Linked DNA regions of Notamacropus eugenii. The protein of the gene in region 1 interacts with the protein of each later gene in a pairwise test. Links are inferred from orthologs where the notes say so. Each region holds a gene or a part of one and is shown in the gene's direction. Other genes may lie near its edges.

Region 1 (9,993 bases):
AGAGGAATTAGTGATGTGGGCAGAAGAGTTAGATGACAACACATTTTTCAACTTCATCCCCACACAGTAGTGAATGAACAAATCTATTAATAAAATAGATCGAGTACTGTATTTATATTGCATAAAGTTAATAATTATATCTGTACGCCACATGTCTAAAGAAGTCTAAACTTGTTGCTGGGAATGGGAGTCGATAAAGATAAGGGTGAAGGTGAGGCATTAGAGTATGTTGTGGTGGAGAAGTGCCCAAACTTGGAGATCTTTGTCCTGTTTCCTGTTTATAGGTCTTGCTTTCCATCTCTGTAAAGAAAAGGCAGTGAGAACAGATGATGTCTGAAGTCTCTTCCTCATTGAGATGGTCTTATGTTACCTGTTTGAACAGGGTGGGTTTAGATGATATGGTCAACTACCCCTTGGATTGTTCTTGGAAGGCTGAATAGCCTCACCAATATCTTAAGAGCTGTTTGAATGACAGAGAGCAGATGGCTTGGAGGTAAGATTGGAATGACCAGATGGAGAAAAGATTGAAGAGGTTTGCCAGAGAGGAGTGAACAGGTGAATATGCTCCCTAGTCCTTTCCATCTGCAAACCCCGCTCCCCCTTCCCCGCCAGCTCTGACAGAATAGAAATGCATATAGACCTTCTTTTATAAGTGATTTATTGAAGTAGTAAACTGGTAAAAAGCATGTTAATAAAATTAACAAATGGGTTTTTAAATTTTATTCACATAGCCTCTCAGTGTTCTAAGCAGATTCCTGCTTCTGACACACGATGGCTGGGTAGCCTTGGGCCAGTCCCCTAAACTCTCTGTGTCCTAGGAAACTCTCAAAGGCAGAGGTTCATCATTTTTTTTTCATGAATCACCCGGTGACAGTCTGGTAAAGCCTATGGATTCCATTTCAGAATGCTGCTTTTAAATGCATTAAATAACACACTTGGAATGCCAATGGATACCAATTCTGTTGGAATAGAGTTATCAGCATATTTAAAAACAGAACAGAACAAGTTCACTGATCCCTGGTGAAGCTTTCTTGCCTAAGAGTATAAACTGCAGAAAAGGTGTTGATAGAGCTTTGAATACGAAAGAAAACCATCCTATCAAAGCATTAGTATGTTTTCCGTTTTCCGATAGAACAGAAACTTCTTGAGGGCAGAATAGGGTTATCTATGTATCCCCAGTAACTAAATACTATCTAGCATGTAGTAGACATTTGATCGATTTGTGTGAGTAAATAAATGAGCTTATTAAAACTAGGAAAACAAAACACTTTTCCCCTGCATTTTTGTTTCCCAAACAAGGTTATTTTGTGTATGTTTTAAAGAAACAATGGCAAAATTACCCCAAGCCATGGCTACATTCTCCTACGTAAGCCAAATTTGGGCATATACCCAATATGGCAGGAGGCTATCCAGGAAGAGAGCCTAGGAAGATCTAGGAAGGCCCAATAAGAATTCATTGATACCAGTAAAAAGAGGTGGCACAGTGGGTAGAGTGCCAGGCCTAAAGTCAAGGAGATTCATCTTCCTGAGTTTGAATCTGGTCTCAGATACTTACCAGCTGTGTGACCCTGGAAAAGTCACTTAACCCTGTTTGCCTCAGTTTCCTCATCTGTAAAGTGAGTGGGAGAAAGAAATGGCAAGCTACTCTGGTATCTTCACCAAGAAAACCCCAAATGGGTCTGAAACTACTGAACAGCAAAAGCAAAGGCCCACTTTAAGCTAAAATTTTGGTCTATTAAGAATATATGTACATATTAATAATATAAAACATATTGTATATTTGTGTTAGGTACATGTGCATATGTATATATTTGTGGATGTGTATGCTGTTCAAACTTTAAGGTACCATGTCACCATGTTTTCATTATTACTTCTAAAAAAATCATCCTCATCTCCAGCAATGATTTTAGTTCCCTTTAGACAGCTGATACGTAACATTACATACAGCGGACACTGGAAAAATACTTATTGATCGAAGCATATTACATATTGGCTCAATGAGCATCATAAGAGTGCTAAGTATATGACCTTGTCACCGTTTTGCAAAAGGGTATTTTTTTCAAACACATATACAGTATTTCTCTTTTTAGTAAGCATTCTGCCTGGATCAATTCAATCCTACAGCTTCTGATGAGACGATGCTTTTGAAATACAATTTCAACCTTTTCTTTGTGTGCATATCTTTGAGTTTTCACCCAGTAGCTCTGGATGTGGTATGATTGCCCTAACAAATTAGCCAGAATTGACTTCCCATCCCACATTAGCTGACTAAGTACAAGAGAGCAGAATATTTTCTTTTTATTTGAGGAACTTCAAGGATTCCTTAAAGAACTGAAGTAACCATACAAGTTACTTTGATGTGTATTTATTGGCAAGGTTATTCTTGTAAACTTCAAATAGCATGTCTGTCTCCCCCCCCCCCCCTTTGCATACTGCCAAAGATATTACACGTCATAAAAAATACTTCTGGTAGTCAGATTTGTTTTTTAAAGGTGGATGCCTCTAAGGGAAAGAGACCCAAATCTTCCATTTCCTAAAACTGTGTGAAAAGTTGCTTTTTAGTTTGCCCACTGAGTCTCTGTGATGTGCACGATGCTATATTTGCCAAGACATTGGGTAAAAATTCTGAAATCATATATTTTGAGAAAGAGAAGGCGTGTGTATTTGTCCAGTATCCTGTGATGATAGCTTTAAGTTAAACCTTTAAAAAATACTTTTTTCAAGCAAGTGGAGCACAAATGATTTATTTTCTTTTATAGTTTATTTCATTAGATACTTCATTCATCCATCTGTTCAATTCATATTTGCTAGCACTTACTTATGTTTGCATCACTGAGCTAGGTGAACACCATGAGGCATACAGAAAAAATGGGAACCATTAATTCCTTCCCTTGATGACCTGGAGTGAGAAGAAAGGAAGGAAGGAAGGAAGGAAGGAAGGAAGGAAGGAAGGAAGGAAGGAAGGAAAGAAATAAGGAAAGAAATAAGGAAAGAAAGTAAGAAATAAAGAAAAGAGGAAGGGAGGAAGAAATGATAGAAAGGGAGCAAGAAAGCAAAAGGAAGAAGGAAGAAAAGAAAAAAGATAGGAAAGAAGAGAAAGAAAACAGTTTATTAAATATTAAATTGAAAATGAGGGAAAGAACATTGTAGACTAATCCTTGTTTTGATGCATTATGTCTGTGGATTCTATTTCCATCTGATTTTAGAAGCCTCCATTTTGGAGATTAACCATTATTCTAGGTATTTAGAAAAATGTAGATTAGTTATAGAACAAGGAGAAAACAGGGAGGCTGCCTTCTCCCTGTGCAGTGATTTCAGTGACAATGTCAATCAGTAAGAGCAGAAGATGGGACTTAGTTTGAATAGATCCCTGGATTAGCACAATATTGTTATTGGGGTGCAGTTACTGAAAACCAAAGGCCAAGGAGCCTTCAATATATTTCTTAAGATTCAACCCCCAAGTTCCCCATTCAACTCTCTATTGTTTTCTCTACTGAATGTATTTGCCAAGGATGTTTTAAAAGCCACTAAATTAGTGTACCAAGAGTTACTTTCTGTGACTTCAATCAAACTCCTGAATGAAAATTTCAACCAGGTGCCTTATAAGGATGCAATTTTGGTGGTTTTTTCATTGAGACAACAATCATTCTGGAATTTGACTTTAAAAAAAAAATCCTTCTTGGTATTATTTTATAAACAATAAAAAAAATTGCATTATACAAAAATTTGTTAGCAAGCATAGTTGTAGAACCTATTTTTAAAAATTCAATCCAAGCAGTTGGAACACAGTACAGTGAAGTTCTCCCCTTTAAAACTAATATCGAGGGAAATAATTTATATATTTTCTATGAGGCCTTCACTGTATAGTTATAGTTGTAGATGCTATATCTAAGCCCATTGTAACACAAAGCCATGCTACAAAGACCTTCTGCCCCTCATTCACTGTTCGGTTCATTCACCTAATTTTCTCCATATTCTGGTTGCTATTGGTTTGGGTTTTTTTTTTCTTAAGTAGCCGGTGCAAAATCAAAATTCATCATCTAAATGAAATGGTTAATATCTCTTCTTTCTGATACTAATAGTAGTTGTAACGGAAGAGCAAAAAATGAAGTAAGTCTTACTTCTTTTTCCACCATGAACATGCACTAAGTAAGACATGTTGCTAAATTTCCACGTGCCTTAATTTTTCCCAAATAGAAAAATCAAATTATGAATAATTCACCAGCTAATTAAGATTTCATTCACTTGATTTTTACTAAGCCTTAAAAAATCTTTGTATAAAATGAGTTAATAAACAGAAAGTATTGGCATCATTATACTCGCTCTCTGGGCAATAATATACACACATATATAATAAATACACACAGGCATATACATACATGTATACACTCATATGTATATTTATACACACATGTATACACACAATACACATGTACATATATTTCTATATATGTATTTTTTTCAGCTGGAGCTATATGCACAAGTTGGTTGGACTGTTTTGAGTGACAGTGAAAAAGTCTGACTCATGACAATTTTTTTAACTGACTCCTTTTCTGGGTAATGAAAGAAGTCAAACAAAATACTTAAGCTAGTTTGTTCCTTTAGTAGGCTTTTAGGGATATACCATACACTACACACACATGCAAACACACACACACATACAAACATACCGTGAGCTGGGCAGAAGCATTACTTCTAAAACATGAATACAGTACAGAAATCATTTATTACTAGATTATGAAAACCAAAAAGGTACATACCTAGTGCTGTCTTGTGTCCCGTTCTGTTGGTTCTTGGAGTTTATACAAGCCAGGAAAAATCAGTGCACTTTCAATTCCAACTAAATTTGACAGCGCTGAAACTTGGACTCTCATCTAATTGTAAACCACCCAATACCCCTTCAAAAAACCCTAAACAAACATAATTTCTGGCTCTCCCAGCCACGTAATGGTTATTTTCCCTTTCACGTCAGTGCAAAGGATGGAGATTGTGACAATTTTCCCTTAGTTCTAATGCTGGGAATTTCCTCTTTATAGTAATTTTTGCAGGTGAAGCCTGATGTTTTTTCCTGGTCATCACGCCACCCCCAAAGTGAACCTGAAAACAAATTCATCTTACAGCTGAAGGCCACAGACCCAGGGTTGACAAGGCTCCTTTTTATTTTCCGGGGCAATAATTTCAGCTGGATGTCTGGTCAGTTGTCATATAGTGTACTTAGCACACTTCTTTCACATACACATACATTGGATTTCTCTCTGGAGAACGTCTAGATCTTTGAGTCTGACTTCTGGAAAGGAATTAGAAGGCCTGGTTGTCATCCAAATCCTCAGTTCTGACAATGGCATCACATCACAGGGCCAACTCATCTTTCACAGACAGCACTGATCAACCAAGTTTCCAAAGAATGTTTTCTCTCTTTTCCTCTGCTGTCTAGGTTTTCATTAGTTTTTTTTTGGGGGGGGGGAAGGGGCTTTTATATTATTTGCATGCAAATCTGAAAGTCTCTTCCTTTTAAAAAATGTAGCCAAGAAAACTTCTAAGTTGCTTTTTTCCTCCCATAAGGAATTATGAATGAAGGAGAAAATAGTCTCCAAAATGCAAAAGTGGGAATAATTAGATTCTTAGCCTCTCCCCTTTCTAATTGTGATCTTGAGTTAATTTCTGCAGCTGGAAAAAAAATATATATGTATATATCAGTTTTCCCTCTCTTGCCTCATTTTCTTCGTGAAGGAAAATCATACACACATCAAGACCATAGGATCACAGAAAAGAGGGCTGTGTGTATGTTGAAAAGGGGCTGAAAAAGGGAAGACGCCCTTCCATAAGGTAAGAATTCATAGCAGCAGATCGGGAAAGAAACTGCAGCCCATTTCATTTATCCGAGTATTTCTTAAGCCCCTGAGCAGCCCCAGCAGAAGCCTCGGTGGACTGAGAAGGTGCCAAGGGGCCTGACAGCTACAGCAGGTCCATGGCTGGGTGTTTTCTTTGCAGAAAATACCCATGGGGTGGAGAAGGGCGAATCCTTCTTATTTCCCCAGCTTTCTAATTTCCCGCCTTGGTTATTTTTTATTAGAATAACAAAGATGATGATGAAGAATTTGCTGCTCAGCTGCCTCCTGCCTCCTTTGACCTGAGACACCAGAGAGCAGATCTGCTCCTTGCCTTTCTCTCCTTTTCAGCCCTTTCCCCCTCCCTTTCTCTTCCCCCAGGTTCCCCTCGGAGGGGAGGAGAGCCGCACTTTGGCCGAGGAAAGCCTTGGCCCCCTTCTCCTAGTGGGGGGAAGTGAAGTGGGAGTCTGCAGGAGAAGCTGGCGGGGCGTGTGTGTGTCTGGGTGTCTGGGTGTGCGCGCACACACACACTCACACACACTCACACACACACACACACACACAGCTCCTTGGCCGCCCTGTTTCCTGGTGCTCTGCTCTCTTGACCCCAGTGGCAGTCCCTGTCACTGCACTGCTCTGCTCCCTCCTCCAGCTCGCCTCTCGCTCTCCTTCTCCCTCTCTCCCTCTCCCTCTCTCCCTAGCTCTCTTTCTCCTCAGATCGAGGCTGCTCTCATTCCCTCTCTCCCTCTCTCCCTCTCATTCCCAACCCTGCCAGCCGGTGGGACCTCCAGGGTCGAAGGTTCTGCCCTGCCTCCACCAACCTCCACCTCCCCAGCGCCTCTCTCCTCTCCCTGTCTCCTTCTCTCCCTCTCTCTAACCAGCTCTTTCCAAGTCCCCTATGGATCGGCTCCTTTCAGAGCACTGAAGGCATCTCCAAGACCCACATCCCAGCCAGAGAAAGGTAATCTACCCCGTTGGGGGGGTGGTGGTGGGAGGGAGCGGGGAAGGAGGAGAAGGGAGGGGGTGGTGGTGGTGGTGGAATCAGATGGAAAGGAAGGGGAAAAAAATAACACACACACAAAGCCGCGGGTTAGAGGTGCCTTGTCATGTACAAGTAGAAGAGGATGGGGCTGGATCTGAGGCAGCAGGCAGCGTCTGCTCCTAGCTGCTCTTTAAAATAATAACAATAAGGCGACTTTAGTGCAATTTGTATGACTCGGAATAAGCGTTTCAAGAGGTTTTGTTTTCCAGGAGTGGAACAGAATTATTTTTAGGAGCTGTCTTCTTCCCCACTAAGCATTTTCTCGCTCCCTTCCCTGCGCCCCCCGCCCCCAACCCCGACCTCTCCAGGGTGTCTTTCTCCTAGCGGGGGGTGGAGGAAGAAAGGGGGTTGGTGGGGAAGAGGGGGGCTAGGGAGCCCTGCAAGGGAAGTGATTTGGTGGCGGCGAGAGGCAGAGGAGATGGGGGGTGGGGATGCTGGCTCGGCCGCCTGTTTACTAGAAAGTCTCGGGGTTATAATGTTAGAGCACGGCCCGGCTAGGCCGGGGTGCATTGTGTTTGCCGGAGACCAAGGCAACAGCGGCGGCGGCCGCGGCGGCGGGCAGCCAGGGGGGCACAATGCAAAGTACAGTTACAGGAAAAGCGGCAGGCATTGTGATCGGGGGGCAGTGCGGCTCTGCGCCGGGAGCCCCGCGCGTGGCTGTGGCTGTGTGAGTGTGTGTGCGTGTGTGTGTGTGTGCGTGTGTGTGTGCGTGCGTGCATGCGTGTGTGTATCTTTTCTCACCCTTTCCCCTCCACCCTAACCTCACTCCTTCCTCCGTCGCCTTCCCCGCCCCCTCCGCGGGTGCTGGAAGCAGCACAGCTTGGGGTGGGGGTGGAGGGTGGGGGTAAGAAAAGTAAAAATCGCCGGGGATTGTTTCTTTTTATTCCGAAGCTGGAGTTGCTGGTGGAGGGTCCCCGTAAGCGAAGGAGGGCTTAGGAAGCCTTGCAAATCCAGGGTCTTGCGGCCTAGGAGGTGGAAAGGGCAATTATTGTTTTTTTCTCCCGTAAAGGGGAGGTGGAGACACCCGGGTGGGAGTAGGGGGATGAGACGAAATACACAAAGGCTCGGACGAGCCAGGATCCCCCCTTCCCGCGGTGTCCACTCCACCCCAAAACTCATCTCTCACCTCTGACCACCACCTCCGACCCCCATCACATGGAAGTCCAAATGCGGGCCAAAAAAAAGGTGCATTGATCGTGAAGCACCGAGGACAAACAGAAACTGGTTGGGAAAAACTTTAAGTGCAAGAAAAAGATTGCCACCCTCCCTATGGCCCTGTACACCACCGGCAAAGGTCCCTTCCTCGTGGTGCCCCCTCTTCCTTGCTCCTCGGACAGAAGCGAGGCGCCCCAGCCCAGCAGTGGGTGGATGGTGGTGGCCGTGGCGGCGACGGCTCCGGGGGGCTCTGGCGAGGGTCGATTTAGGATTGGCCATCAGGAGGATGCCAACCCAGAGCAGCGGAGCCCGCTGGGGAGGCATAATGTTGAGGAGGGGGGGGCTGAGGGGGCGGGTGGGTAGGGGGACTTGGTACAAAACCGGGGATGGTGCGGTGTCAGAGCTATTGGGCGCGGATGGCAATCAATCAATCTGGGACCGGTGAAAAGAGAGAGAGAAAGGGAGGTAGCGAGAAAGGAAGGAAGAAGGAGCAGTCACCCAACAGCGGAGCCCAGTGCGGCAGGGTGGCAGGAGGGGCGGCAGCGACCTTGCTGGTGGTGGCGGCGGCGGCAGCAGCCGAAGCAGCGGCGGCAGCAGCAGCAGCCAGCGAGTGCTCACCAGGAAGGAAAGGGGGAGCTGTAGACAGTACTAGCAGGACGTGAACCTGTAGAGGAGGTGGGGTGTGTGTGTGTGTGTAAGAGTGTGTGTGTGTGTGTGTGTGTGTGCATGCATGCACTCAGGGGGCCAGGGGCAGACTGTCCCCCTTCTCTTTTAAGTCCTATGTTGTAAACCTTTCTCAAACTCCCCAAATCTGAGATTTCCCTCTTTCTAGAGGAAAATATTCGGTGTACCTGGCGCTGGACCCAAGTTCGGGTGTGGGTGGGGTATATTTAGGGGTGAGGGGTGGGGGAGAAAGCTTTGGTGCCTCTGCAGCTCTCTAACTTTCTGCTTCTGCAGCTGGGAGCGCATTCCTAGCGAAGGGTGAGTGAGCATCCTTGGTGTGGGTCTGACTGTAGCACCGAGAGAAATAAAAAAAGAAATAATTAGGGACTGAAGTGGGGTGGGGAGGAAGCTGGACAAAGTTGCCTGCAAAGTCTTCGCATGTTGCTTGGTCTCTTCTCCCCCAGACATTCCTGTGGGGAAAAAAAAAAGAAAGAAAACAACCCACTTTCCTGTCAGGCTGGGACAGGTACCATGCTCAGCCTTGCCCTTTCTCACTTGTCCTATTGAAGGATTTTTGGGGGGAGGGCCGTTGAACCCCTACTTTAAATTTTTAAATTCCTGGCAGACTTTTAAAAGGGCTTCTGACCAGATTCCTGAAAATGAATATTCTTCATTGAACAACCGAAGAATACAAGTGGCTGCTATCTAGGAAATAGGAAATAGATTTACATGATTTTTTCAAGAGAGATAACCAAGCAGGCACCAGCACGCTGGATTTTGGCACCGTCTACACCTTTTTGTATTTTTCTTGAGGCTTACTGACACAAACTAGGGTTTTACTTTTGGGGGGTGGTGGTGGAAGAATGTGTTAATGTGAACAAAATGAATGTGGGCTGTCTTCAAGTGAGAAAAGGGCAAAAATCTGGTATTTGGGTTAATCTGTTTTATGAATATGATAGGGGTGAATGGCTGTTATAAGTGTCACAGTAATAACTTTAGCTACATTCCCCTGGATTAGATGTACCCCATTTCTGCTTCTAAGATTTTGGGGGACCACAATACACATCCTTGCTCTCTAGAAAATGGCTACATGAGAAGGTGATGAGGTGAACACCCAGTTGTTTGGGGGGGGGAGGGAAAGTGGGGAGTAGAAATGAGCCTTTTCTCTACTGTCTGTCAGGGTATCTGTGAAAGTTTTGAAGTGTTCCCTTCTGCCTCAGTCTGCCACTTACTCTTCAAAGGACTCCAGATTAAAGAAGATAGACGCTGCAGGTGCACTGTTCCGATAAGACATTTGAAAAAAGA
Region 2 (10,569 bases), on another chromosome or scaffold:
CATTCTGAGCACTCTTCATTCATTCTTCAAAAGGACATTCTTCATCAACTTAGTCTTTCCTATATGTATGGAACAGTCAAACTCCTTTGAGTGATTACAGATCTCTTTGAAGAGGCTCTGCAATACCCTGAGGGAAGATGCAGTCAGCCCAATGCCATCTGCAAACAAGCTCATCTAGAACATCTCACCATCAATGGATGGGCACTGCACTTTTATCTCTTCCCATCATCAGTGGGGAATCTTTGATAAGAATACATCTCACTGTTTTATGCTTCAACTAACATTTCTTGTCATTGAACAGTTACTACTGTTCTTACATCTTCCAAGGAATCCTGAATCACAATGTATGACTAAGAGACATTTTTCTATAGAAGAGATCATACAATGGCATATGTGTTCTACCAAATCAAATGCTTTTTCATAATTTACAATTAGCACAGCGGGCTCATATAGTCTTTACATTTTAGTTAACTGTGAAATGGTAAAGACGTGGTCCGATGTTGATCATTTTTTGAAAATGCTTCCTTTGTTTACTAATAATACCTTCATGAAAGAAGCCCTTAATTTATGTGTGTACATACATATGCATGTGTATGCCCATATATTTATTTATATAAAACTCTCAAAGATTTTCCTTAGATGAGAGTGTAGGAATGTAGGACTGTAGCTAACTATCTTTCCTTGGTTACTTTTCCCAGTATTAACAAGATCTGAGATTTTTCCATGTCTTTGGTATTATTGCTTCTTTCAGATACCTTCTATCTTCTCTCTCTTTTAGACACATTGTATACTGTATTTGATACTGTATATCAAATATAAAAACCTCAATTTGGCTCCCAAAGCCATTCATAACCTGGTCCATAGGATGAGAGTAACAATCTAACTCACAGTGTTATTGTGAGGATTAAATAAGACACTCTATGTCAAGCACTTTGCAAACTTTAAAGCTATATAACTGCTGGCTATTTTGTCATCATTCAACTGAAGCTGCCCTCTTTAACACTGCCACTGAGCTCATAAGGGTAAATCTTCTCAAATTTCATTCTTCTTGATCTTTCTGTAGCACCTGACACTGTTGATGATCTCCTAGATTCTCTCTCCCTTCCAGATGCCTATGATTGCTCTCTCATGGTTCTCTTTATTATGTGGCTCCTCTGCTGGTTCTTTACCTAAGTCATGCCCACTAATTGCAGATGACCTTCATTCCAAGGCTCAATCACTGGTATGCTTTTTCTTTTTGCTCTGTTACCACCCTTGGTGACGTATCAGCTCTCACATGTTTAACTATCTCTATGCAGATGATTCCTCAATACACATATGTCCAGCTCTAGCCTCTCTCACAAGCTACAGACCCTCATCACTGATTGGATCTTGGACATTTGGAACTTGATGTCCTGTAGTTATCTTAATGTCAACATGGTCAAAAGAGAAAATATTAGCCTTTTCTTCCCTCCCTCCTCAGAAATACCCCTTCCACACTCCCATTACTCTTAAGGGTACCACCATGCTCTCAATTACAACCTTGGTTTCATCTTTGACTCTACTTTTGCATCCCTCTGCAACATAATCTGTTGCCAAATCTGGTCATTTCTACCTTCAAAATCTCTCAAATGTCTCATTCTCTCCACTCACAATTATAACCCTAATTCAGGCGTTCATCTCCTCTCCCATACCTCTGCTATATCTTTTTTAACGCCTCTCTGCTTCAAGTCTCTTCCCACCCCAATCCAGCCTCCATTCAGCTGCCAAGGTGATCCTTCTAGAGCACAGATGTGATCATGCTGATCCCCCTGCTCCATGAGCTCCAATGGCTCCCTATTGCTTACAGGATCCAATAACAAACTCTTTGGCATCTAAAGCCCTTCTTAACCTGCCTTTTTCCTGTACTTTACCCCACTCCACATACTCAATGACTCAGAAACGCTGGCCCACTTGCACTTCCACTCTCATCTCTGTGCCACTGTACTGGCCTCCACCCCCATCCTACCTCACCTCACCTCTTAACTTCCCTGGTTTTTCCTTCAAGACTCAACTCAACTCAAATCTCTTCTTCTGCAAGAGGTCTTTCTCTACCAGATAGATGCTAGTGTCCTACTTAGTCAGACTGCCTCCCATCTACTCTGGACAGATGTTGTATGGACCTAAGTTATTTATAATGTCTTAGTCATTAAAATATAAGCTCTGAGAGCACAGGGACTGCTTTTTCCTTCCTTTGTTTCTCCCCAGTACCCAGAACACAAAAAGCACTTAATAAAAATGAAATGAAACAATGTTCCATACAGGGAAACGTTACATATTATGTAGACTGGTGGGGATATGTCTCAGCCACTGAAATGTGATCTCCTAGAGCAAAGGAACCATTTCACCTTCCTTTGCTTCCTCAATGCTTACACAGTAAGCACTTACTAGGTATCCAATAAAAATTGAAGAAAAGAATATCCTGAAGAGAAAAAAAACATTACATGGAATATATAAATCACAAATAAACAGAAAATAAAGATAAAAAGGAGAGTTTTTTGGCCTGAAATTTCTACAATTAACAAATATAAACACAAACTTATAAACTGTAACCAAAAGTATAATAATAAATCATCCTAGTTAAATACTCAACTCTGCTTGACCCAAGTTATTTTTATAACTGACACTTACATAGCACTTTTAAGATTATTAAAAGCGTGTGTGTGTGTGTATGTGTGGGCACGCATGTTCCTAACAATGTTATAAGGTATGCACTACAGGAATTACTTCCATTTCACAGTTGATAAAACTAAGGTTCAGAGACAGGTTTTGCCTATGGTCACAGAAGCAGCATTCTAACTCAAGTCTCTCTAGATTTCAAGTTCTGACCTCTTTCCATTATACCACAATGCATAGGTAAGATTATTTTTCCCTAGTGTTATAAAAATCTTATTTTTAATTTTTCTTTATACTTTTTTTACGTCTTGATTTCCAAATGTCTCTCCCCAATTACCAAAAGGCCGAATCTTGTCACAAAGAATAAAAGAAAAAAAAGAAAAACATTCAATTATAGTTCTCTACCTCTGCAAATAAGGTGTAGTTTTAGATTATTTGTTAAGTTCTTCTTTTATAGATCCATAAATGTTAGATTTTAATTTACACAAAATAAGTACATGCAGTCCCCTATGGAGGCAGTGTGGTCCAATAGCAAAAACATTGGGTTGGGCTCTCCAACTTCCAATTCCACCTCTAGATTTACTGCTAGTCTTCATCTCCCATACAACTCCCATACAACAAGGAGTCTGGAAGAGATGGGCTCTTGGGTCCCTTCCGGTTCTAGATGTATGACCCAAGGTGCATTATCACCTCACCTTTCAAAAACCAGAATAAAAACTGAACAGTTGAGAAAGGCAGGTATGAAAGCTTGCATATTCTGTCATACACTGTGAATGAGTTGGCTTTGATGAATTGGTTTTTTTCCCATTTTCTTCTTTGTATCAAGGGAAGGCTATATTTGGAAATGAATGAAATGTTAAAAACAAAATATAGAGATAGAGAAAAATGAATTAGCAAGAAGAAAAGATCATTCTAGTTGATCTTTTCTAGGTATTAAGTTCTAAAGCAGAATCTATATTTCAGAGGGTCAGTGAATCTGAATGGGAAAAAAATTACATCTTTATTTTCACTAACCTTTTAGCTGAATTTTATCATTTCCTCCAATTATGACTGTAGGCAACAAAACATTCCAAAAAGGGGCCTACAGACTTCACCTGACTATCAAAGTAGACCATGGCAGAAAAAAAGGTTAGCTGATCTTGTTTTAGAGCAATACAGTAGATATGAAAGCTTGTATTAAAAGCAAACAGGTACATACTAGAAAGATATCAAAAACTCATTTATAAAATACCTGTGGGTTACTGCCTCCAGATGAACAAGAGCCCTTAGTAATTTTCCCAACTTCATCATCCCAGTCCCAATCATCATCATCATCATCATAATCTTCATAATCATCTTCCTGAATTTCTTCATCAACTTCATTCAAAGTCTGGTGAGAATTTTTAGATGTATCTTCCTCCTCTTGGCTTGTTTCCATGCTGGTTGTACTTCCACTAAAAACAGGAATTTTTCAGATGATGTTACATGCGATCTAAGGTAACATGACAAAAATGCCACAGATGTGTGAATCTCAAGTCATTAGGAAATTCAAGGCATTTGTACTTCCATTTAATAATAAGAGACACTTTTACAAAAAGAAATAAAAACTTAATCAAAGTTAATTTTTTAAAATAACTAAACAAACTTCAAAAAATACAAACGGGTGCAGATTAAGATATATATTTAATGGCCAAGAAAGGGATTTATTTTGTTTCACTATGCATATTTATCCCAAGGATTCTGGGATTTTTTCCCCATAGGTAAAACAAAAACAAAGATTTATTGTTAATTGAAAACTTTTTTAAGTGTTGTTTTTAAAAAGGCACAAAATGCTGTATTTTGAGACATCTGGAATCAATGTACACACTACTGTGTTTACGACAACACTGCAATTGTGGACATATTAACAAAATATCACCGTAGCCTTTGAAAATAGCTAAGGCAATGCAAGGATCTAAAACATTTCCAAAGGACCCCTGATACAAAATGTCACCCACATCCAGAGAAAGAACAATGGAGTCAGAACCCAAATTGAAACAGACTATTTTTTCTTTTGTTATGTTTGGTTTTGTTTAGTTTCATTCATGCTTTCTCCCATTCGTTTTAATTCTTTTATGCAATGTGACTAATGCGAAAATGTGTTTAATAAGAATATGTGTATAGAGCCCATATAAGACTGCATGCTGCCTTGGGGAGGGAAGGGGAGAAAATTTAAAACTTACAGAAGTGATTGCGAAAAATTGAAAACAAATAAATGAATAAATTTAGAGGGAAAAGTAAAAAAAAAAAATAGGACAAGGACCACACCAAAAAAAAAAAGTGAAACAATGCCAGAGAACTTATGATGAAATATGCTACTTTACCTCCTGAAAAAGAGGGGATGGACTTTAGGGTACAAAAAAATCAGTAAACATAGACACCCAAAGTCTTCCTACGGTTTTAAAAAGCACCAAGACTTTTGGGTCACGCTGTATCTTTTGGACAAGTCCAAAGCAGAAATTGTTTCGTTTGATTATGCAGATGGCTTTAGCTTGATGTGGAGGAGAGAGGGTCAAGGATGGGGCCAAGTGGACAACGATGTTCGCTCCTCAAAGAAACTGAACTGAAATAAAATCAACTCGGTGAAAGGCTTGGAATGATGGGCTCTGATGACAAAGACACCTCCTGACCCCAAACACTTAAAGGGGGGAGTCTGCAGGACCCTTAGCTCGGAGGGTCTGCGTGCGGCCACGTACTGCGGCCCAAGGCAGGAAGCGGGGCAGAGGAGACGGAGCCCCGGAGCGCAGGGGGATGGGACCCCAGCCCCACGCACGCCGCTCGGGTCCTCTCACCTGTCAGAGGAGTCAGCATCATCGAACTGCCCCGGGACCGCCCGGCTCATGAGCTGCTCCCGGTAGTTCATGGCGGAAGCAGGATGCGCTCGCCCGCCGGGGCTCGATGGGGTGCCGGTGGCACAGGAAGCTGCAGGGGCTCCGGGCGCCCCGGCTCCGAGGATGCTCCCGTCACTCCCCGGGCCCACGTGGTCTCCGGCTCTTCCACGCAAGCCGCGTGCTCCACACGTAGAGCAGAACGGCTGGAATTCACGAAGGTACGGAGAGCCGAAAGGGACAAACAATAAACACGCCCCCTCCCCCCCAAAAAAACCAAGGACTCCGCGAGTTAGCCAACGACAGCACGGATAAACGACTGTTCCTTTAACTTCACCGAACCCCGGAGAAAGTCCTGGCAGACCGGAAGTTGGTAACTGGAGTCACCACGGCAGGAGCAAATAAAGAAGCACGGGTGCAATAGGCCCACATAGACCAGCTCGGCCGTTGGCTCCGCCCCCTTCCCCCGTACAGCTGCAGCCAATCCACGCCCTGAGCTTCTGAAGACACGTGAGGAGAGGGGCGGGGCTAGAGAACGCGTCAGGCGTGTTCTTCGCTCTGGGATTGGCTGATCGCGGGCAAGTTGTCACAACTGTGGAATCTTGGCGCCGCCTGGCTCCCAACAGCCTTTATTTTCCAAAGCCATCTGTGGGAGTAAGAGGTCCCACACCTCTCTTCCCGCACACGGCAGGCCGTGCGGGAGGAACGAAGCACTAGACCCGGGCTGCAGACCCAGGAACGCTCAATGGAGCCCGAAAGTGAGCACATGAGCATTTTTAAAAACTGTTGGGGGGCTCTGGTGACCATCAAAAGAGAAATGTGAAAGAACTTTGAAAAATGAAAAAACATACTCTTAAAGAAAACGATGAATCTTCTAGTGTTTTCCTGTAAGTGCAAAGTCTCCTCTTTAACTCTACCTTAAGAGCAGGAATGTGCTTTGCCTCTCCAGAAAGGGGTGGTGTGCTACCGGTGCGGAATGAGGTATATTACAAGTTATCCCACGTGGCCAATTATATTGGGTTTTTTGGGTTTTTTTAGTTTTACCTCGAAGGACTGATTGGGGTATGAGGGAGAGTTGGGAGGAAAATACCACACATTTATTTTTTTCAAAAGAGCATTAATGTAACAGCTGGATTTTTAAAAGAACAGCTGTGGAGTAAATGGATTCAGGTATATATATGGCTTCTAAAAGAAGTGGGGGCAGTACTGTGTTACTAAAGCCCAGGGATATGATGGGGAGAGGGAAGAAAGCCTAACTTAGGCTCTGGAGTTTGTTTTTTAAGCGTTTTGCCCAGATTGTATAGAGGGGGTCTGGGGGAAGAGGGGTGTAGTTTACTGCACTATGAAGAGTGAACAGATGCAGAGGGTAACTAGAAATTTGAGTCCTCAATCAAAATTGATAGACTACAACACTTTCTTTTTAAAAATTCAGCAAGCTTTGAATGCCAAACTCACATTTATACAGGCTTAAGGGGTATTGAGTGCTTTACATACATTATCTTACCCTTTGCAGTCTAGTTTTGGGCCTCATCTCTGCTGTTCTCTCCGAAATAGCCAGTGTTTATTCTGATGTTCTCTCACTCTCCATTCTCATTGACCTGTCAGATGCATTTGAGTGTGTTGACCCTCTCATATTCCTATATACTCTCTCCTTTCTTAGTTTTCATGTCAATGTTTCCTCCTGGTTCTCCTAGGTGTTACTCATCTGACCTCTTCTCCATTTCCTTTGCTGGATGTCCAAATTCTGAAAAGTGGGTATACCCCTAACTGTGGTAATGTTTGTCCTTGGCCTTTTTTCTCTTTTCTTGCTTAATTGACATCATCAACTCTCATGGGCTTCATTATTGGAGATCTGCTCAGTTCCCATGGATTTAATTACAAGTTCTATGCTGATGATTCTCAAATCTGCCTATCTTGTCCAAATCTCTCTGATATTCTCCAATCTTGCATTTCCAACTGCCTTTTAAGACATCTAAAACTGGATTCCAGTAGATATTTTAAATTCAATATGTCCAAAATGGAACTCATTTTCTTCCCCCTAAACCCTGCCATCCTTGGTTGATCAGTCACATCCAGCTCTTTGTGACTCCATTTGGGGTTTTCTTGGCAAAGATACTGGAGTGGTTTCACCATTTCCTTCTTCAATTCATTTACAGATGAGGGAACTGAGGCTAACCAAGTTAAGTGACTTGCCGAGGGTCATGAAGCTTGTAGGTGTCTGAGGCTAGATTTGAACTTAGACTCATCTTTCTGACTCCAGACCCAGCACTCAGATCTACTGTGCCATTTAGCTGCCCTCCATTCTTCCCTGTTACTATAGAGAGCCACACCTTCTTCCCTATGCCTCAGGCTCACAACTGTTCAAAAGTGGTCACAACTCCAAAAGACTTAAGTCATAACTTATTTTATTGCAGGAACATGCATTCTAGGTCCCTTCTTGTATAGAGTGCAGAGGAAGCCAACAATGCAGGCAAGGCCTTGAATATGTAAGGGTTATGGGATGAGAGAAAGGCAATAATTGCCTCTCAAAGGATAGTGGCATGGGAAGGGAAAGGGAGCAGTAGGATGAGGAAGCAGAAAGGCAGAAGCTCAATCTCCTCCTCCTCCCCATGGAGGAAAGATATTCTGCTTATCCAAAAGGGTCTCAACTACACAGTTTATCACTGTGGGTTATGTTGGTCGGAGCCAGGTTTGTAGCTGACTTAGCTTCAAGGGCACGCTGAGAGTTTAATAAAGTCCAACTGCAAAAAATCACTGTTATGTTAGTTCAGGGGGGCTTCATCTCTGGAAAATAAGGCAACTCAAGAAAACAAGGTCACAGGCCCCTTCACACAACCTAGGAATCACCCTGGATTCCTTACTCTCTCTAACCCTCCACACCCAAGTTTTTGTCAAAGCCTTCACATCTTTTGAATTTGCCTCCCTTCTCTCCTCTGATGCTGCCACCACTCTGGTACAGGCTCTCATCACCTCATGCCTTGATTATTGCAATAGCTTGAAATAATCTTCATGCTTTAAGTTTCTCCCTGCTCCAATCCACTCTCCATTCAGCTACCAAAGTAAAGTTCCTAAAGCTCATGTCTGACCATGTCACCCCATCCCAACTTATTAAACTCCAGGCTTCCTATTACCTCAAGGAACCAATACAAAATGTTCTTTTTTTTGGCATTCAAATACCTTCATAACCTAGTTCCCTCCTACCTTTCCAATCTTCTTACACTTCACTCCACACTGTGTACTCTTTGATCCAATGACATTGGCCTCCTGGCTCCATCTTTTAACTCCAGGTATCTCTCTGGTCATCCCCCATGCCTGGAACACTCTCCCTTCTCTCTTCCAATTCCTGACCTCCCTGATTTCCTTTTAAGACCCAACCAAAATCACATCTCTTACTGGAAACCTCTCCCAGCTACTCTTAATTCCAGCACCTCACCTCTGCTAATTATTTCCTATTTATCCTGTGTCACCTGAAAATAAATAACCAAAGAGCCACAGAAGTTACACACCAAGTGTTAACTCTGAAAATACCAAAGAGCTCATGGAGGTTGTACCTCAACTATTGACGCTGAAAACGTAAGCTCTCAGGCTATGAGCAAAAAGCCTTCTTTATTCCATTGGAAGAGGGAAACTAAACGTGTTCCAGGGCCTCCTCTAAGACTGAGGAGACCCACGGCTTTGAGGCTAAGCCTTGATACATACAGTTGTGGATAGACAAAGAACCAGACAGTGAGGTGTAACCAAAGCAATGAGGCAAATTTGCCTAGTGGCAAAAAAGTTTATGCATAGTAGGGCTTCATGACCACAGTGTGGTTCATGCAGGTGCTTATCTGAGTTCAGGAACCACCTGGGACTGGCTAGATCGAATTCTGTGATTTAACTGCAGCAGAATTCATGCAGAGGATGAGCACAAAGGATTTTTGTTATGCCAAATTCAGAGCACATATTGCGTACTAGGCCTTAGCTCTGGAAAACAAGGTTTCTCCTAATAGTAAGAAAAGAGAGGAGTGGTCTTGCCTTGGAGGTCCTGACACCTGGATATATCTTGTTTTGTGGGGGTTTTTTATGTCATCTCTCCCATTAGATTGTAAGTCCTTGAGGGCAAAGACTATCTTTTGCCTCTTTTCATACCCCCAGTACTTAGCAGTGTCTGGCTGTTGTCTTTCATTCTCAAAGAGGACCAAAATGACATCACCATGATAAAGTCAAGTTTCAATGTGTCCAACTGTGGCTGAACAGACAAATATGAGCTTGGAATGCTCTACCACAGACTGGGCACAAATAGTCTGTGTGAACACCTGAGGGGGATACTCCAAATTTGCACGTCCTACACTTACTTTGTGCTATCTCAATTCTGCTTTGCTCATAGAGCACAGCACTCTTTCTGATGTGGGCACACTATGCTGAGTGGTCCTATGCCAGTGTCTCCCATGTCCCTCAATCAAATTCAAAGTTCTTGAGAGAGACCTTGAGAGTGTCCTTATATGGCTTCTTCTGACCACCGTGTGATCGCCTGCCCCATGCGAGTTCTCCATAAAACAGTCTTTTTGGCAAGTGTATATTTTGCACTCGAACAACATGACCAGCCCATCAGAGTTGTGCTCTCTGAAGCACAGTTTGAATGCTTGGCAGTTTAGCTCAAGCAAGGACATCAGTGTCTGGTATCTTATCCTGTCAGGTGATCTTCAGAATCTTCCTAAGACAGTTCAAATGGAAGCGATTCAGTTTCGTGCCATGGCACTGGTAGACTGTTCATGTTTCACAGGCATACAACAATTAGGTCAGCACAACGGCTCTGTAGACCTTCAGTTTGGTAGTCAGTCTAATACCTCTTCTCTCCCAAACTTTTCTTCGGAGCCTTCCAACCACTGAGCTAGCTCTGGCAATGCTTGCGTCAACCTCATTGTCAAATCCCTGGAAAGTACACTACCAAGGTAAGTGAACTTATCCACAGCATTCAAAACTTCCCTGTTTGTTGTAACCAGTGGTTCCACGTATGAATGATAGTGGCTGATAGAGCACTTGTGTTTTCTTAGTGTTAATTAGTTGGCTAAAATTAGCACAGGCAGCAGAGAATTGATCCATACTTTGT
Region 3 (10,199 bases), on another chromosome or scaffold:
CCTAAGCAAGTCACTTAATCTTTGTTTCAGCTTCCTCATTGGTCAAATGAGGACAATAATAGGACCTACCACCCAATGTTATTGTAAGGATCCAATGAGATAATAATTGTAAATTGCTTAGCAAAGTAGAAACTTAATACATGCTCATTTCTATCCTTTTGACTGTCAGTCATGATATAGTGATATGATACATTTTGGGGGTAACTAGGTAGTACAATGGATAGAGCACAAGGCCTGGAGTCGGGAAGACCTAAGTTCAAATCCAGTCTCAGACACTTACTAGCTGTGTGACCCTGAACAAGTCCCTTAGCCCTGTTTGCCTCGGTTCCTCATGTGTAAAATGAGCTGGAGAAGGAAATGGCAAACCACTCCAATACTTTGTAAGAAAACCCCAAATGGGGTCTGAAAGGATTGGACAACGTGATATGTTTATGAGTGCACAACGACTATTTGGAGACAGCATGGTGCAGGGGAGAGAGCACTGGATTTGTGGCAGGAAAACTGAGTTCAAGTCCTGGCTCTTTTTTTTAATACATATTTGATCTTGGGCAAGACATTTAGCTATTTATTCTAGGACTCTGCTTCTTCCCTGTAAAATGAAAGGTTTGACTAGGCTACCTCTCAGGCTTTTTCCAACTCAAAATCTATGACCCTGTTGTTGGAGTGAGTGGAATCACTGACTTTTGGCATCATAGGCAAATGCTTCCTGTTATACTTCCAATTATTTCCAAGTAAAGGTATTGTCTCAGGTATCTCTGTCTTACACAAGAACCTCCAAGCCAATTGTCTTGCAAGAAATGATGATCCCCTGAAAGGACATAGACACACAATCCCAAAGTAGGACCTGTACCTCAGGGGACACAGACAAGTTGGCTTTGCCTTTAGCTAACAACCAAAGTTTCTTACCCAAAGCAGGATTTCTGACCTCATGCAAAAAAGTAAAGATGAGGTAGTGACAGCTTTGTGTCTTAAAGTCTTGCCAGATACTGAGCACCCCAGATATAGTCCAGACAGTGTCAGGATACCAGATGGGGTAACCTCAGCAAGTCAGGACAGTCAGATATATAGAAATGATCAACTGTAATGGGGTGGTCCCAAAGCAGCTCTGCCTCTGGTAGAAGAAATCACTCAGAGCCTAAGGGTTCACATGAAGAATTACCCCCACTCCACTCAGTGACCCTCCCAGGTAAAAACAGCCTGTAAGACAAAGTAATCTTTATTTCCTCTTTGCCCAAAGACAGGTCACTGGACCAGATCCCAATTGTCCCAAGAGGACTTCTATATCTGATATAACAGACCACTGCAAAAAATGGAGAGGGTAAGGAGACAATAATGCCATGGCCCTTAGTAGTAGTAATGAAGGCAGTGGTACCTAGCCCACAGGCAACAGTTTGGATAGCAGCCAGAAAAGGAGGGCAATGTTACTCGTTGGCTTGTGGGCCAGGAAGCTCTGATGCAAATGGGGCCATTTGAGTTGACTCTCTTTTCCCCGCCATGACTGTTGTGAGTCAGGACATTGTGAGAGAGACTGGGGCTATTTGATGGTTGTCCTGAAACTCAGCAGTGAGCCTTTTGGGCAAAGGGTATAAAAGCAATATTCTAGTGATGATGTAAGCAGGAAACTTCTGAGATCTCAGGGAATCTTGGGAACTGCTTTTTACCAAAGTTCACCAAATTGATTATTGATTTATGTTTCTTTTTATAGGGATTGAACCCTTACAAAGCACTTTATAAACATTGTCTTATTTACTTCTCAAAGGGCCTTATGGGTAAGTAGTGAAAGTATAATCACTATTTTTTATATATGACGAAACCTACAATGTACTAGGCCCTGCAGATACAACTCCGCCATTAAGGGATTCACTTCCTACTGGAGGAAACAATATGTTAATAAATACCCACACACCCATACCCATGCCCACAACAAGCAAACAAAATGCACAGTGATTAGGGGAGAATTAACACCTGAGGAGATGGAGAAAGATGTCTTGTAGAAGGTAGCACTTGAGATAAAGCTTAAAGGAGCTCAGACCTCCCAGAGGCAGAAGAGAAAAGAGAGAGCTTTCTACGTATTGGGGACAGCCTATGTAAAAGCATACGGTCAAAGGAATGTCATACATGGGGAACAGTAGCAGTTAGTATCAGGGGAAGCTAGGTGGCACAGTGGATGGAGTGCCATGTCTGGAGTCAGGAAGACATGAGTTCAAATCTAGCCTCTGACACCTACTAGTTATATGACCCTGAGTGAGTCACTTAACTCTGTTTGCCTCAATTTCCTCATCTATAAAATGCACTGGAGAAGGAAGTGGCAAATCACTCTAGCGTCTTTGCCAAGAAACTTCAAATGAGGTCATGAAGAATTGGATATGACTAAACAACAACAAAGCAGTTTGATTTGACTGGAGTGTGGGGTACCATAGGGGAACTAATATGTAATCAACTTAGAAGGATATACTAGGGAGAGCCAGATTGAGAAGGATTTCAAATGTCAAACACAGGGCAGTTTATTTTTGAACCTAAAGGCAATAGAGCACCAACAAAGCTTCTGTTGTAAAAATTATGTGACCCTGGATAAGTTACTTAAACACTTTGTGCCTCATTTTTCTCACCTATAAAATGAAGAATATGATCATTGCACTGCTTAGAATTCTTAAGTCTTTCAAAAATGTCCATTATTACAATATTGTTGTTATAGTATATGGTTCTCCTGGTTCTACTTACTTCACTCTGCATTAGTTCATACAAATCTTCCCAGGTTTCTTTGAAACCATGCCTTTTATTATTTTTTTTTTAGTACAACCTTGCATATTTGCCACAAGAGTTTCCTTTTTGAAATTTTTTGAGGGAAATTGAGAGGAAGACAAAATAAGTGCTTTTAAAAATAAAAAAAAAACACTTTAAATGAATGGATTGGACTCTTTCCAACTCTAAAGCTATCATCTTATGGTCATTTGGTTTGGTAGAGCAAAGCATCTCCTTAAAAATTGCCCCTCAACTAGGTACCTTGATTACATATGTCAAAATCCCACAATCTTCCTTAAAAGAGGAACAACAGATGTAACAGATATCTTTGTTCATTGACCCTTGGATTATTGATGTCAACAGAGGCTTTAAAAATGATATGATTGCCACCATCATGGAGAAAAACCAGTGCAGGAAGTTCCCCATTGAAGAAGTATTCCCTATAGACAATCAGATCACTAATCTTGTTTTTAGATGATGTTGTTTTCATCAATCCCTAGAACATGGTAGACTCTTCCAAATTAGATCTATAATCACTCAGAACATTTTGACCTAACTCTTAATTCTGGAAAATGCATGACCTATAATATGTGTGAAGTTAGATAACATAAGGCAACAGTGAGAGGAGTGTCAAAAGAGAAGATTTGATGATGAGGAATTAAGTGAGATAAGAGATAGTTTGTAGGAGAGAGGGTTTTGTTTTTTTTTTTGTACTGCAGAAGTCAGGGAAAGTCTTATGGGAGAAGATAAGAATTGGACTAGGCTTGAAAGATTGAGTAAGATGGTTAAACAGAACAGAGGGGAGGGTTTGCCAAATGAGGAGCCAAATGGCAGGAGCACAGCATTTTAGAAGGATTTAAAACTGGAAGGATTTGAAAGATTTTCTAATCTAAACTCCCTCATGTTAAATCAAGAAGCACCTACTATGTGCAAACACTGTATTAAGTGCTAGGGATACAGAAAAACAAAACATTTCACTTCTCTCAAGGAGCTCACATTCTAATGAAGGGATACAAGTAAACAACTATATACAAAGAGGATATAGACAGGATAACTGTATACAAAGAAGATATAGACAGGATAAACTGAAACTAACCTTGGAGGAAAGGTACTAGCATTAAGAGGGATTAGGAAAGGCTTCTTACAGAAAGCAGGATTTTATAGGTGAGGAAACTAAGGCTAAGTCTTGCCAAAGGTAAATTGCTAAATCAGGATTGGAATCCGGATTTTCTGATTGACCCACCGATATGCTTTCTTGCACCTTACCTCTTAGTACAGGAGGGGGAATAAACATGGATTGTTTGGAGGCTAGAGAGTGGAACAGTCTGGCTGAGGCAGAGTGTTATGTAATCTTCCCAGTAAAATGTAAGTTCCTTGAGGCTAGGGAGTGGTCTTCATTTTGTCTCTGAATCTCCAGTGCCCAGTACAATATTTGGATTGAATTGGTTCCTGAAGCAGGAGAAGTGAAAAATAAGATTGGAAAAGTATGCTAGAACCCCAGATTGCAATCAGTTTCTTAAATGTCAGAAGTGGGATTTTGTCTTGTGGTAACTAGGAGTCATTGATTTCTTTCTTTCTTTTTTGGACAGGAGAGTGAAAAGATAAATATAGTGCTTTGAAATGATTAATGTATTCCTCCACAGAGACATTAGGAAAATAACCCCAGGGTCCAGTCAATACTCCCTCTCTACCTTGATAGGTTGTCGCCTCTCCCACTGTGACTGAGCTGTGTCTAAGAGCATTTCGCAGTTCAATTCACCAGTCTCTCATTTGAGATGTGATAGATGGCAAAGGCTTTCAGAAAATTAGACCAGGAAAGAGTCTCCGCAGAAGCTAAAGGCTACTGTAGTTTCCCACTGCTGCTAGAGAGGGAAACACCTTGAGGGCAGGGGTCATTTTTTCCTTTTGTCTCTTGTGCCTTCCCCAGAACAGAGCCTGGCGCTGTCCAACATTCTGCTCTTCTGTGGAAGGAAGGCTTTCTTTGTTCCTTTGCCAAGTCAGGCCCTCAGGTCCCCCTCTTGGGAATCTCTCAGGTGAAGCTGGTAAGCGACATAAGGGACAACATAGTCAGGAGAACCCATAGCCTGCAGAAAGAAAGCTTTATCTACTTATACTTGGGGAGGCAGAGAGGTACCGTGGTAAGAACACCGGCTTTGGAGTTGGAGAATGAAGTTTCAAATCTTACCTCTATCAACTGTGTGACCTTGGGAAAGTCACTTCAACTCTTTGGGCCCCAATTTCCCCATCTGTAAAATGAGGAAATTTCACTCCCTCCCAGTCCTGGCTTCTGGTTCCATGATCCTATGGCTCAGTCTCTTGCTGTATGCATTGTGCTCTCTTGGAAGAACTTCATTCCTCCCTTTTCCCCAGTTCCTGTCACAGGTCAAATACCAGCTGCAACGAATGGGGAAATGCTAGAGAGAGAGAAAATGCCTTTTTAAATAAAACCATATTTATCTTTTTTTGGAGGGGGAAATATATCACAGAAAGCAAAGGCACCCAAAGAGTCTTCCCATTGCTTGATCCCTCCCTCCTCACTTCTGTCCTATGCCGATGCGGTCAGACATCGATTGGCTTCCCAGCTGATAGAACGCGCCACTGATGGAGCCCTCAGCGAACGTGTAAGGAGCTCAGATAGTTGGGGAACGGAAACCTAGCCTTGAGCTGAAGCTAAGGGGCAGCCCCCGCCGCCGCCGCAGTAGCAGCAGCAGCGGCGGCAGCAGCAGAGGCGGCAGCAACAGCAGCATGCGCCCTGACTTACACACCAGCTGCTGCCGCCACAGCTGCCTTTAACGCACTCTGAAGGCTCTCCCGTCCAGACACAGGCTCCTTCCTAATTAATCTCCGTGAGCGTGAGCGGACAGCCCCTGTACTCCTAGTGGCTGCCAGGGGATGATGATCGCTCTTCCCACACCAAGTTGAAGGAGTCCCGTCTTTGCCTAATAGCTGGGAGAGGCAGCACTATTGAGAAGAGGAAAGAAAGAGAGGAGAGAGAAAGATGAACTGAAGAGTAAACATGTATGGAAATTACTCTCACTTCATGAAGTTTCCTGCAGGCTTTGGCGGTAAGTATGTCACTTGGACGGGGCTAGCTGGACCTTGGTATGATAGAATGAGATAAGGAGGAGAAATGTGTTGTGGGTTCGCTCCCCCCCACCCCCCCAATCCTTCCAGAAAGGAATAATTCACTGGGATTGTTAGAGCAAGTGTATATACACAGGTGTGTAAGAAAGAGAAGTGAGATAGAAGGTGTGTGTGTGTGTGTGTGTGTTTGCGGAGAGAGAGGGAGAATGACAGAGAGGGAGAGAGGGAGGGAGAGAGGGAGAGATACTGTATATTGCATGTAAGTGAGACTGTGTGGTGTGTATAGAGAAGATGAGTTGAAGAGGAGTATTATGGGGGCCGATATGTGTTAGAATGAGTTAAGATACAATAAGAGCATTCATGTGGGAGCTAGTGTGCATGGAAGTAGAATAGTTAATAATAAAAGTATGATTACATTCCTCCTATACTACTTATCAGGAAGAAAAGCTATTGTCAAAGGTTTTGAAAATATTAACCGCCATGAAAAGGCTTGGTAACAATGATAGGGTTGTTTTCTGGAAAAGTACCATTTTCTACCCATCAGACTGAAGTGTTAGGTGTTCTGGAAAAATAACTTGCCATTGTCTTTTCTTTCTTTCCTCTCCTATCCTAAAAATCTTGAATACCCTGTCCTTCTTCCCCTCCCCATGTCATTATTTATATCTGTCATTACCATAATTTCCATATATGTATGTGTGTGAGGGATTTACATACATCATGCATGTAAAAATCTTATTTTTGGTAGTAAACATCAACCTGACTGATCAAGTTTTCCTCTTAAGGAGGGAGCAACATGGACATGATACTACACATGTTGGAGTCATTCCAAGGGCTTTTGTCTAGTCTGGAGGAGAGAAGGCTGGGGGTAGGGAGGCAATGATAAAGGTCCTCAAACATTTGAAGTGCTGGCACATGGAAGAGAGATTGATCTTGCTCATCTTGGCCCCACAAGACAGTTCTAGGAGCAAGAAGGGGAATTCTGAGAGAATCAGATTTAGTCTTGAGGTCTGGAAAACTTCCCAAGCCGTAGAGCTGTTCCGAAGTAGAATGGGGTGCCTCAGGAGGAAGTGGGCTCCCCTTCAATTGAGCTCTTTAAGCAAAGGCAGGATGACCACTTGTCTGGTATGGAAGGAATTCATTTTTTTCCGGGTATAGACTGAATTATGAGAGGTCATTTTTAACTTCAAGATTCTGTGGAAGACTTTTTCCACAAAAGAGCAATGGGTAATCAGTTCAGTCAGAAAACAGTTCTTTTAGTGGTAGAATCATCCAAATGGGTTGTCTGGCAGTATTTAAACCAGATTCTTGTTATTATTCACCCTCCCTTCTTGAAAACAGACCAATGACATCAGGAGGGTGATGTTTTGACTTGCAAGTGAGTTGGATTTAAGTGGGGCAGGACTGTGCAGAGTCATCAGCCTCACTCTCCTCTGGAGTTGTTGAAATCCAGTGGCAAGATACAGGTCAGGATGACTGGCAATGGCCTCGGATGCAATGGGGGCCCCTGGTCTTTTGAAGCTAAGGTCTTTCCTAGGTCTCAGTTTGTCTTGAGAAAGTGCCCATTCAGTAATTAAAGGATGGGTAAGAATTGAGGCAAAAGATGGCCTAGTTTGCCTTCATAAAAGAATCTGGGAGGGAAAGACTCTCAGAGTTTCTGGCAGAACCATTTAGACCAAATAAATGACTGCTTGACCAGAGTTCTCACTTCTAGGCTGGTGGCTGGGGTTCCACACAGTTTCACACAGTCTGTAGTAGCCATAGTGGAATCTTTGCCATGTGTCACTTTCAGGCAGCACAAGGCAGAGTGAAGGGACAGCAGCCCCACCTCCTCCAAGCTATATACCAGTAGGATACAGACAGGATAAAATAGAAATAACCTGGAAGGGAAGGCACCAGCATTAAGAGGGAACTTACAGGGGTGAGACTTTACAGGTGAGAAAACTAGGACTGAGCCCAGCAAGGCAGAGATTTTTTTGAAATTCTGAAGGCAGAATCCTTTCTCACTTCCTCACTGGACAGGTAGCCAATTCATCCAGAGTTATCTGGATCTAAAAACTCCTGATGATTAGTGGATCTTTCCTCTTGTCATCCATCTTTAGAGAGAAGGACATTTTCCCAGGTATTAGGATACCACAGAGTGAATCAGTCCAGAAAGTGGTCAGGTCCATCGGCAGTAGAGGAGACCAGCGTAAGACTGTAGCACAAGAATGAAGGATGGGTTGGATTGAGGCTAAGTGGTGACTGATGAAGCTTCATGCAGCAAGTTGTTATCTGTCTCCAGTCTCCAGTAAGATACTGGGTGTGAAAAGACTTCTGAACCCCAGGGTTAGGGTGTGTGTCATGGACGCAGAATTGTAAACAGCTGCTTTCTTTCTCTTGGAGTACAATTGCCTCAGGAATGTACTTATGTGGGACCATTCTTTTCCAGGACCTTTTAAGTTCTTTACTTATAATAATACTCTTTTGATGAAAGAAATTTTTTTTTTGTTATTTTGTCTACCGCTTGGTGAAAAGCTATGGAGAGGTGCGTGTGAGGTGAATTGAGGTGGTTGTGGGGGGATAAATTAAAGTAAAGAGAAATGAGAGGAATCTGAACAAAGTTTAGGTTGTGACGAAATATATCAACCTCAATTCAGATATCCAGCACAGTGCTTTGCACTTGTAGGTGCCTGATAAATATTTGTTGAATTCAACCAAATTGAATTCAGGGGCTCTTTCTCCTAGATTTTGAATTTTTAGAGATTCCTTTTATCTTAAAGAGAGATCATCCCATTTTTTCAAATGAGGAAATAGAAGTTAATGACCTCTCCAAGGTCACAAAGCTAGTTAGTGACAGAGACCTCTGAAGGAAGAGCTTGAATTATCAGGGTTATGTTACTATTATATAAACTTAAAATCATCAAAATTATATTTTTCAGAGAGTAACATTATGTAAACGAGAGTAAGGAAGACCTGTGTTCAACTCCAATGGCTGTCACATACTAGTGATGAGAGCATGAGAAAGTGACTTAACCTCTTAGTGCCCCATGTAGCTCTATGATTGTTGGTTTGATGGAGAGTGTCAACACTGGGACTTCCTCAGTAAATGTGTAGGGCTAGATCAAATATATTCATAGAATTGTAGGATGATGCATCTAGACTCTAAATGTATTAGCCTATGATTTGTGTACAGAGCAGGACAGGACCTTACAGGAAACAGACCCAGATAATGTAGTGTCCATTGCAGAATTTGAACCAAAGTCTTCTGACCGTAGAGCTGGTAATCTTTTCACTATGTCCAATCTTTTCAAATAAATATATGTAAATTCATTAGAAATATCACTTTGTAAACATAAAACCAAGATCATTTTCTGAAGAACAAATGTAGTTGCTGTTACAATAATAAAAACAAAGTTTCTATAAACATGGAATTTATTTGGTAATTATGACCCAGAGTTTGATGTGATTAGGTTTCCGTTGGTAAAAAGCACAAACTTTCATAGTGATGATGACACTCCAAAATGTGAATGGGGAAGGGGAAAAGGGGCACAGATGTAACGGGGATGGTTGGGAGAGTAAGGCTAGAGAGACAGTTACCTAAATTAAGTATTTTCCTCTCAGACTCAAGAGAGAAGAGCAGTGAGGGTTTGGATGAGCTCTATTGATTCTCCACAACTGTATTTGAATACAACTAGAAATTTGCACCAAAGCACAGGGCTCGAGTATGTCAGATACAGGTGCTTAGCATCAAAGTGATGTGCACTGGTCCAGGGCTTGGGGAAAACACTGAGGGATGAATGACGGAAAGGCCAGGACTAGATTAGAGTTTCTCTGTAGCCTCAGCCTCTTGCTGTTAACAAATTGCTATGCTCTGCACATATAAAACGAGCTATGATTTATTTCCCCCTATTTTATAGATTGGCAAATCCAGGCACTTCAGACTACCATGAGTCATTGCAGGTTCTCTAGGGAATTATCAGCACTCTGGAAATAACATTTGGGATTCATAAATGGGATCAGGTTTGCAATTGTCCAAAACTACCAGTCAATTCAGTGGTGAAAAAAAAATAATCAGTCATTAGATTGAAGCAAGTACTGACCTATTGGTTAAGGCAAAGCACTCAGTCTAGTTGCCTCAGGTAGAGAGAGTCTCACTGAGCTGTTCCAGGCTCACATCATTCCACTCTAGTGCGTGTTAGAGGCAACAGGAAACCTCTTTCCGTCTCCTGGTCATCCTCTGAACTTGGCAGCTGCTTAGCTGAAGAATTATTGTTCCAGGGTGAGACAGTCTCTGTCTCTAGTCCTAGATCCTGTCTCTGAGAGAATGATAAAGAAAAATCCCTATTATCCCCTTAAGCAATTGCATAATACCCAGGGTGGAGAGAAGATTAAGA

Evidence for each region. The genes of interacting proteins can lie anywhere in the genome.
Region 2: the proteins of MPPED2 (region 1) and CAGE1 interact in binary tests that used the Homo sapiens proteins (3 or more experiments, as listed by UniProt). The two-hybrid records come from large-scale screens. The link is inferred for Notamacropus eugenii from reciprocal best matches to the Homo sapiens genes MPPED2 and CAGE1.
Region 3: the proteins of MPPED2 (region 1) and RXRG interact in binary tests that used the Homo sapiens proteins (3 or more experiments, as listed by UniProt). The two-hybrid records come from large-scale screens. The link is inferred for Notamacropus eugenii from reciprocal best matches to the Homo sapiens genes MPPED2 and RXRG.

What each region holds. Positions count from the first base shown.
Region 1 is NC_092877.1:20,714,836-20,724,828, forward strand, and holds the start of MPPED2 (metallophosphoesterase MPPED2), read left to right. Parts: upstream 1-5,451; 5' UTR 5,452-6,789; intron 6,790-8,455; exon of another isoform or gene 8,456-8,700; intron 8,701-9,993. UniProt on the Homo sapiens protein: Displays low metallophosphoesterase activity (in vitro). May play a role in the development of the nervous system.
Region 2 is NC_092875.1:177,887,802-177,898,370, reverse strand, and holds the start of CAGE1 (cancer-associated gene 1 protein), read left to right. Parts: upstream 1-5,938; 5' UTR 5,939-6,225; coding exon of another isoform or gene 6,226-6,238; 5' UTR 6,239-6,345; coding exon 6,346-6,367; intron 6,368-10,569. Other genes in the region: RIOK1 (serine/threonine-protein kinase RIO1), read right to left, coding at 3,866-4,067, 5,445-5,515.
Region 3 is NC_092873.1:481,224,886-481,235,084, forward strand, and holds the start of RXRG (retinoic acid receptor RXR-gamma), read left to right. Parts: upstream 1-5,568; 5' UTR 5,569-5,758; coding exon 5,759-5,807; intron 5,808-10,199. UniProt on the Homo sapiens protein: Receptor for retinoic acid. Retinoic acid receptors bind as heterodimers to their target response elements in response to their ligands, all-trans or 9-cis retinoic acid, and regulate gene expression in various biological processes.